2 linked regions of the Oryzias latipes genome follow. The protein of the gene in region 1 binds, or shares a complex with, the protein of each later gene. Links are inferred from orthologs where the notes say so. Each region holds a gene or a part of one and is shown in the gene's direction. Other genes may lie near its edges.

Region 1 (4,858 bases):
AATGTCAATTTTTTATTAGGTTTTGATGACTTTTTCTTTTCCAAGCGCTCAAACATTATCCAAGACTCAAAATTGCAGACCTACAGTCCTAATAAATTGTCCTGTAAAAGTTGGTTCAAAGGTTGGTGCTCAGTCAGAAAGTAGGGTCTCCGGCTCAGACCAGTTCCAGACACCAACCCCCCCATGATGCAGGACTCCTTGTTGACAGAAACCACATTGAAACGGTTTGAAGCCTTGATTATGTCGGAGAAATTTGCAAATTTAAAATTCCCGCCACTTGAAAGGAAGACGGCTGGACTGGCGTAGATGTTGAATAGACGCTTCCTCCTACACTTGGATGAAAAGTGTGTTTTTAAAAACCGAATTTTTAAGATGATAGACGAAAAAAAAGGCATTTTTGGAACGGCTGGATAGCTCCCAAGATGGCTCGCCCTTTTTGTAATGTTGGGTCCCCCACCCAACATTGTGAGTGGCTGTAAGCTAGCTGGATGACAGGCAGCAAGGGCGGTGCTTAGCCTGCGCCAGGAGCCCCGCCCACAACGTTCTGCAGAAATCATGTTCTGGGAAACGAAATGGGGTTTCTTGGGGGGATTTTCTGCTAAAAACGGCCGAATGATAATCAAAAGACGACCGGAGACACTTAGAAAATAGATGAGATGATGATCTTGTCATGGTGTAGCAGAACCTCTGCTACTTCAAACTGAAACAACCTCAGTCTGAAACACGGATGGCTGATAAAAGCTAACCACACGCGTGTTTGTACACACTGATATCATCTCCAGTTGTGCTGACTCAGCATGTTGAACTCTTGCACCCTCCTGTCATGTCGGGATAACCTCAGACACAACACCGTGGCACACGAGTCTCGGGTGCCCCATCGACCATAGGCGGGGCCTCAGGCTCCGCTCGGCGCCACAAGAGGCGGCACTGCCTCTTGTGGCGCCATCCTCCTGAAGCCAGGCAGCGGCCCGTGGCTTGGTGGAGGCGGCAGGTTCTCTGGTACAGCGTCCCCTCGGCTTCAGGAGCAGGAGTTGGTCGATGCCGCTCACTCCCCTTTACATGCCGACCCCCCACTCCCATTGTGCGCTTTAATCCGGGGCTCTTTTGTGGCAGGATTCCACAAGAGGGCCCGCCGTGCTCCTCCGTCACCCCCTTCTCCTTTCAATTTGCATGGAAATGCCTTCATGTGTGTGTTGTGAGTATGCCCCCCACCACCACCACCACCATACCATCACTGAATGGTTACAGAGAAAGAGATGATTATTATTGTTATTTTGTTTGGGTTTTTAGTGTTTTGAACCCCACCGTTCCACTTCACGTTCTTCCTTTTTTCTTTCTTTTTTTCCTTGTAATGGATCGGACCGGGATAGTTGGCGTTTGGTTGACGCGTAGGAATCCGGATGCGCACACGCACCGTTCAAAAACACATCTGTGCAATACTTCCGCCTCCCCCAAAAACGCCAATCTCTTGATAAGCGGAGGCTCGTTTCTGAGCGAGCATTCTCATTCAGTTTGATGCCCAAAGTTCCTAAACACCTGAACACATCCATCTTTTCTCCAACTGCTTATTGGCTTCACTGTGGGTACTACTTTGAATGTTAAATCATTGTTTTTGCCTCCTAAGCTCATAATTTAAACTTGTCCTAAATATTCCCAAGCAGCCATTATGGACTTAAGAATTCCCAAAGGCGAATCTCACCACAAACATCTCCGTTCAGTTTTCTCCATTCGTTCCATCAAAATCGTTGGTGTCCTCCGTGAGAGTCCCGTCTGCCGCTGTTTCTTTACGTTTATTTTTAAGCCACGAAGACGCCAGCACGGGCTCTTTATTGGAGATTTACGGGTGCAAAGGGAATCGGATTCTGCCGTTTCTGTGGTCTCCGTGGACATAAACTCTGCACCTACACAAACACGCTTCACATGCTGAGGCCTCATGAGGGGAAGGGAAAAAAACGGACATTCTGAAGTTAATTTTGAAGGCGTGGGTTGTGGAAGAGCAGGTCAGATACAATGAGGCCCTTTTATCTGCGCTTCCATCTTTTTTTAACCGCCTGTGTCATATCCAGTCGTTCCGGGCGGCTTTTGGGAAACGCACCAACATCCAGCATCTCTCCATTGATAATTAGGTTTCCTTGATTTGGTTTTGAAGCCCCACTGGTCACAAAAAAAAAAAAAAAAAAAATGTCTTTTCGACTCAAAGGGAGTAAACAAGAATATTTAAAGACACGCAAAGATTGACTTGAGGCTGGATGTTGATCCACTGCAGACCGCGTCTGTTTCTCTTCTGGTTGGAGGCTGTGGTGCTTTAAACTGATGCTCGTGTTACCTGGTCAGATGGGAATTTCTGCTGCTTCCGTGTTTTCATGAAGCCTTTTTTTCACCACTTTTCTCTTTGCTATGTGACCTCAGTCGTTTGGCCTGCCCTCCATTTTTATTCCCAAACTTTTATCTCCCTGCAGCTGAAATGGACGGCCTGTCCGACCTCTCCCCTCCCGGCTCCAACCACAACCACCTGGGCTTCTCCCAGCAGCAGCCCATCCCCGGCAGCACGGCGGAGCAGACCCCTTCCTCGCCGGTTCCCCCTATGCCCCACGGCCCGCCGCCGCACGGCGGCCAGACGGCGAGCCGACAGCCCCAGCTCCCCGGTCTGCACCACCCGGGCCTGGTGTCCACCCCCATCAGCCCCCAGCTGGTCAACCAGCAGCTGGTGATGGCGCAGATCCTCAACCAGCAGTACGCGGTGAACCGGCTGCTGGCGCAGCAGTCCCTGTCGCAGCAGTACCTGAACCACCCGCCCGTCAACCGCAGCTCCCACAGCAAGCCCATGGAGCCGCAGGTGGCGTCCAACACGGAGGTCTCCGGCGAGATCTACCAGTGGGTCCGGGACGAGCTGAAACGGGCCGGCATCTCGCAGGCCGTCTTTGCTCGGGTGGCTTTCAACAGAACCCAGGTGAGACGGGAACGCCCTCACTAAAACGCCACAAAAGACGGAATTTACTAGAAACGTTGACTTTATTTCCCTCTGGTCCCTTTTGATTTTTGCCGGTGTCTCCACTGTCGGTGTTGTAGAAACTAAAACCGAAACAAACGGCAGAAAATGTCTGCCTGGAAATCCGTGTATTTTTTAAGGTTGAACCACATCGTGAACCCCCCCCCCCGTTTTTAAACGGCTTCCTAAAGTTTCTTTCATTTTCTACATTTAAATTTTTTACATTTATATGCATTCACAGCACTTTAGCCAACTGCAAAGGCTTTACAGGTAAAGATGAAATACATTTGGAATTCTTACAGCAAAAACAACAAAATCCCACTTCTGACACCAAAGTAAAAAGTGCGTCCCCCCCACCCCCCCACCTTCGGGCTCGGTTGTGATTTGAAACTCCTTTTCAAAGACGTCTTAAGACCGCTGCGTTTCTGAATCCTGATAGCATCGCCGCCGTACCTGAGGACTGCTGGCAGGCTGCCACGCCAATGAGCCCAGCTTCAGTCGTTAACATCCTTTCCCGCTCTGCTTCCATGTGGCGCTCGACTTCATTGTCGGAAGAACAACACACAAACGCGCACACACACACACACGTGGGTGTTGATTTCTCCAAGGGACAGCTTGTTTCTTTAATGTTGGCGCTTTTATCTGAGCAGAAAAGAACCGGTGTCCTGCTGCAGGTTAGCCCACCGCCGGTTTTTTGGTACATTTCAAATATTTTTTATCTCAATTTGAACCCTTGTGGTGTCTTGTGGGGTCAAAATGACCCCCCCCTTACAGTGACGTGTTCTCCCTACCATGACAAAGGTGGATAAAGGTGGAAAGATTTCACGTAGTCCATGGACACCAGTGAAGATCACAAATCATTGAAGAAAAAAGGTTCAGAGCACTGTCTAGTGGGTCTAGATGACCCAACTCCCAATGTTAAAGTGCCTTGAATAGCACAAGGAATAATTAGGAAAATCCTGCAGATAAAACCGTTTGGATAAAACTCTGTTCGGCTCATGTTTCCTGCTCGCAAAGACTCACTCTGGGGAAAATCAAGATTTTCAACAGAAAGAAAATGAAGCTCAAAATTGTATTTCTAAGCATTTTTGGGTTCAAATCCTCGTAAATAAGGAGCGGAAGAATGAATGTTTGAAAAAGATCGTATTTTTGTATAAAATGTGGTGGGCGGGGCTACAATCTCCCTGCTCCGCCCCGTTCTGATCCATCCACCTGCAGACAAAATGATCCACGAACATCTGAGCTGGAATCTGGATCTGCTCACCGTTTTTTAGTGGCCTGTCAGGTTCAGGGCTAAGCCAAGGGTGTAAACAGAGAGCTCTCAGCAATGGGGAAGCTGGGAAAAAAGGTCCCGCCCACAACTCAGAGGTGAATTTCTAACAAAACACTGCCGCTCTGCAGAAACAATGTCCTAGAGCAGTGTTTTTCAACCTTTTTTGAGCCACGGGACACTTTAACCTTGACAAAAATCCCGCGGCACACCAGCATCCAAAAAAATAAAAAATAAACAGAAATTCATGGTCTCTATTGATCGACAGCCCCCCCCCCCCGCAATCTCACGTGCATTTTGTGATAATTGTGGCCAAAAAAGCAGGAAGTTGCGGCTGTTTTTTCTAAGAGATGAAATAAAAGTTAAATTAGAAAATTTAGAAACTGTTTGTTTGTCCGTTGAGGTTTCTAAACATTTCACGCGCACTCATTGTGCGCTGGGACACTGGCCCTTTAAGCCAATGCATCATGGGAGATGTAGTGTGAAAACTGCCGAAAAAGGGCAGAAAGACTCGCGTCTGTGAGCTTCATTGTTTTGTTCATGGTCTGACACCGGACTCTGTGGAAAGCTACACCGCTAAAGACGAGCTTTAGATGGTA
Region 2 (4,960 bases), on another chromosome or scaffold:
ATATTTGGTGGAAAAAAATAATAATCCTGCTTCCCATAGACATCTCAGCCGTTGGGCCTGGGGCACTGATTGGCTGTTCTGGGTCACGTGACGAGGAATTGGCTGCAAATTCGCCCCATAGTTCTCCAGTTTAGCTGCCCAGGTCTCCATACGCCTGTAATATCACCAATATACACAATTATGAAATAGCCTACGCCTTGACGCCGGCGCGGCCAGGAGCTTACGTGCTGGTGCGTGTTTTTATTTGTTTTGTCATTTCCCTGATAAGCCATATTGTGTTCTGTGGGTGTGCACGCGCATGAGCGTGCGCGCATGCCTGTGTGTGTGTGTTTGTCCCTTTTTTTCTTTTTGTTTTGGGGAAGGGATTATTCGGGGTTTCGCCGTTTGAGGCTGAAACCAGGCTGAGGAAGCTATGAATTTTGAATTTGAGAGAGAGATCGGGTTTATAAACAGCCAGCCTTCCCTAGCAGAGTGCCTGACGTCCTTCCCCGCCGTCCTGGAGTCATTTCAAACTTCATCAATCAAGGAGTCGACAGTAATTCCGCCTCCCTTCGAGCACACCATCCCCAGCCTGAGCCCTTGCACAGCCATCCAGCCGACAGCAGCTGCTGGGAATCAGCAAAGCCGACGAGCCTCTGCCACAAATGGCCACCAGACGCACCACCGTGTCGCGGAGCAGCCCGGTCCGCCTGGCCAGGCCCCTGCCACGGCCACCCCGGTCGCTCCGCTGGCCCACGAGTTTCCCTGGATGAAGGAGAAGAAATCTTCTAAGAAGTGTTCGAAGGCTGGAGGCGGCTCCGGCGGCGGAGGATCGGTGTCAACCCCGGCCCCGTCCTACCCGTCTCCAACCGCCCCTGGGTACGCCTCAGCGGACGTCGAGTCACCCACAGGTCTGTAGACTGGGGCGCAGGGAGTGGCGTGCATGTGTGGAACGCGTGATGAGCATCTCCAGCTCACGCTCATTTTTTGAATTTTCTAGGAAGCTTCCTTATCATTTAAACACCGTATTTTCCCCCACATTCGTGCATGTGCGTCTGTTGGTTTGCGCGCACGCGTGTGGATTGTGGGGTGTTTGTGATGCTGCGCGTGGAGCTGCAGCACTGCATGATGCTGCAGTGCCGTGAAGTGATTCCAGTGATTTCATCTGGATTTCCACACAGACACTAACTCATAATTAGTGCATGAGTGCGTGCGTGCTAAAAATCTTCCATCCATAACTGCTTAGCTTCTATACCAGCACAGGAAGCTGCGCTTTCACAATATTATAACATTCATTGCTCCACTGGCATGGTCGCCATATTGGAGGGAGGCAGATAAGGCAAAAGACTGAAGTATGGCGGGGTGGGGGCTGGGGCGCACTGACAACTCGACAGGAAACGTTTGACGCACAATGTGAATTTCTGGGGTTTGGGCCATTCCTGCATTTTTTTTACTGACCTCCACGGTTTTGCAATTCCCTCTCCTAAAACAGACCTCCTTCATTTAAATGAGATTTCGTGTTTTCTTCTTGTCCCATCTCGTCTAATTTCCTGCTTTCTGTCATCTTCTTCGGGGGTTTTTGTACAACGACGTTGCTAATATTAAAGCCAGTCTGTGAACCACGACAGGAACTCGTTTATTTCTTTGTCTCTTTCGAATTTAAATTATGTCTTTCTTTCAAATACAGACTTCTTAGAAAGTAGAAAATAAATATCTAAATGGGTTCAGGTTTTCTAAATTTCCCTTAATTGATAGGCTAGAAAAAATAGATCTAGTTTTGAAATTTACATGTTCTTTTGTTTGTTTGCATCAGATTCCAGCCAGGCGGCTCTGGACGCCAGCGCGGCCGGGTCCCGCCGTTTGCGCACCGCCTACACCAACACGCAGCTGCTGGAGCTGGAGAAGGAGTTCCACTTCAACAAGTACCTGTGCCGGCCGAGGAGGGTGGAGATCGCCGCACTTCTGGACCTAACGGAGAGACAGGTTAAGGTCTGGTTCCAGAACCGGAGGATGAAACACAAGCGACAAACCACACACCACCGGGACGGCGGCGGAGGAAGTCCGCCCTCCAGCGCGTTCGAACCCCTGGAAGGCGCCGACGCGTCCTCTCCCTACTCCAGTCAGCCGCTGGAGGCTTCTGGGACGGGGGAGGCCTCCTCGGACGGGGAGCACGGGGGCGAAAACCCCGTTTCTTTCAACGATGACAGCGGGGACAATACGCGTCCCACGCCGGAGGACACAGGCCGTTCGCGCGCCTCTGAACGCCCACTGCTGCTCGGCACAGCTGGTCCGCATGACTCCACCGCGCCCCAGCCTTCTCCGCCCGCATTCCCGCAGAAAAACAGCAGCACTGCCGGCCTGATGCAGCTGGGGGACGCGGCGTTCTCCGAGCAGAGGGACCCCGCGGCTGCTTCATCCCAGCCTCACGCCATCTCCTCCTCCTCCTCTTCCTCCTCCGCGGCCCTCCCTGACCTGACCTTCTTCCCGGAGGACGCCTGCCTCTCGCCCAGCCTCCAGAGCTCCCTGGACAGCCCGGTGGATTTCTCCGAGGAGGACTTCGACTTGTTCACAAGCACACTGTGCACCATAGACCTGCAGCACCTCAACTTCTGAGGCGACATTAAAAACAAACGAAAAACAAAAAAAATTAAGAAAGAAAAGGAAGAGAAAAAAACTGAACGCATTTTTTTAAAAAAGAATCCCGGCAACATTCCATAAACATGAAGTTTTTTTCATGCTTTTTTCCGTCCTGGTTTTAATTTCCAGCTGTAATGTAACAGTTTTTATTTTTCATCTCCAAAAGGATATTTTTGTTTTTCTGAGTAGAAAATGTGGACAATTTCTCTTATTTGTCCCCTTGAATATATTTGGATCGTTTCTTGGTTGCGGGCCGTTCCTCCTCCTCCTCCTCCTCCTCCTCAGCGCGTGGATTCGTTTCCTCTCGTGCTCCCGTGCAGCTTCGTGGATCCTCATAATTTCTCAGGAACGGTGGCAGAGTCTGGACTGCTTCAGAAAACTCTCTGACGAGTGGAAAAACCCTGCTGAAGACACCAGGTTTAGACCTTAGTTTATTTATTGAGATTCTTTAATAGTGAAAATCCAAATTATTTATTGTACATATATTTTCATAGTGGAATAATAATAATAAAAAAGAAAGAAAAAAAGAAAATTTTGTGCATAATTTTGTGTTAGAATATTCTTAAAAGATTTGTTCATGATGTTTTATATTTTATTTAAAATGGCAACATTATAAATTCTTAGATGGCAATATTTTAAAAAATGCTGACTAATTATTAGGAAAACATGAATTTAACATTTGAATGACAATTAGGGTGTTAGTCATTTAGTACATTGTTTTTAAAATTGATCAAAAATTACCTTAATTTTCAATTTGAGACTAATGTGTACAATTTGTTCCACATTATAAAATAGGTTATTTAAAAATATATTGGAATCATTGAACCTAATAATAATTGTTTTGTAAAATGTTCCCATTAATTGTTTATTAATTATAGGCAAGTCTACATGAGTTCTTTGTGCAGACTGCAGAGCCTGACTGTGCAATTATTTTTTACGACATAATTCTAAAAGGAGAATAATAAAACCAACAAATCCATGCTGTTGTGGTCAGGGATGCATTCAACAGCAGGGTGCTGCATTCGCACTCCTGCAGCTTCTGTGTTCCCCTTCCAGAGAAGCACAGACAGGAAAACAGGACTCCCCTCTGCTAGCCTGTGATGCTAACATGCTAACTGCTCCCCTCCAGAGTCAAAATGGCGCTGGAGACAAAGGAGGATGTGAACAATGAGCAGTGGCAGCCATTACAGGATGACTGGCCCACAGTGACAGGCGCCGCGTTCCAGGCTTTTTACGAATCAAATAAATATAGTAAAAATAATTCAAATTGGCTACAATAAAAAATTTAGTAATAATAATATAAATATTATTACTTTGGAGATTTTTGATTTGCAAATCATTCATCCAGAGCTGCAAGGTATTTGGCTAAATTATTCATTTATTTTAGAATTTCAATAAATGTTTATGATAAAGCCCAGATTTGACTTTCCAGCCCAAATAAGCTGCTTAAAAAAAAGAAAAACATGATAAATAGCCTATGTGATGTCTGAACTGTTCATTTATCTCTGCATTAAGAAGGAGTTTTATTTTGATGGAAGTTCATGCTTTCAAAAACCTCAAACATTGAGGTGTTGGGGGCTCATTCACATTTATATATTTAGATGGATGAGCAGCAGAGCAGGTTAGAGCACCAGGATGCTCCTGTGACTAAAATCTAATCTTGGAATGGTTGAGCATTTAAACGGCCAATTGCAAAAATCATCTTACTATAAGAAAAGGATGCCGAGGCTTTTATTTTGATGCAAACTAGTTATCATTTGTCAAATTAGGACTTTACACTTTGGCTTTGCAAATCCAAAAATAAGTGAAACAGACGTGACTTTCTGTCGACTTTCTCACAGAGAGAAATAGCCGTGTGAGTAGTGCTGTGCAGTGACAGGCTGCAGTGGTGGTGGACAGAAAACACAAAGACAAAGGCTGATCGATGTGTTAAGAAAGCCGTCCAGAAGAAATGTCATTTTTCTTCTGGTTCTAACAGACGTGCTCAAATTAGAATAAATGGGATCCACTTTTTCTGCCTCTGCTCAGCTGGAGCAAGACAAAACACACTCTGTTTGCATGAACTAACACTTAAGGATTTGTTTTAAAGTAAGAGCGAATTTGCAAACCATTTGCATCATTTCAAAAACTTTCACAAATAAATTCTAACTGACTTTGAGCGGCTTCAGTTCACTGAAAGCAAAGTGTGGCGGGCAAGAACATGACAGAATATCCAACTTGGGGTCACTGGGTTTTCTAAAAAATGGAAAAAAAATACATCGGGTTGAAATGTTTAATGCTAAACCTTTTAGGTCAAGAGCATTTGAAAGATGTTTTTTTTTTCATTTTCTTTAACAAGCAAAAG

The links. Proteins that work in one complex are often made in the same cells at the same time.
Region 2: satb1 (region 1) and hoxb2 share a complex: the UniProt entries of both Homo sapiens proteins name them as parts of the nuclear protein complex. The link is inferred for Oryzias latipes from reciprocal best matches to the Homo sapiens genes SATB1 and HOXB2.

The regions. Positions count from the first base shown.
Region 1 is NC_019874.2:30,143,895-30,148,752, forward strand, and holds part of satb1 (DNA-binding protein SATB1), read left to right. Parts: intron 1-2,459; coding exon 2,460-2,950; intron 2,951-4,858. UniProt on the Homo sapiens protein: Crucial silencing factor contributing to the initiation of X inactivation mediated by Xist RNA that occurs during embryogenesis and in lymphoma.
Region 2 is NC_019866.2:24,276,304-24,281,263, forward strand, and holds the end of hoxb2 (homeobox protein Hox-B2), read left to right. Parts: 5' UTR 1-412; coding exon 413-890; intron 891-1,792; coding exon 1,793-2,592; 3' UTR 2,593-4,072; downstream 4,073-4,960. UniProt on the Homo sapiens protein: Sequence-specific transcription factor which is part of a developmental regulatory system that provides cells with specific positional identities on the anterior-posterior axis.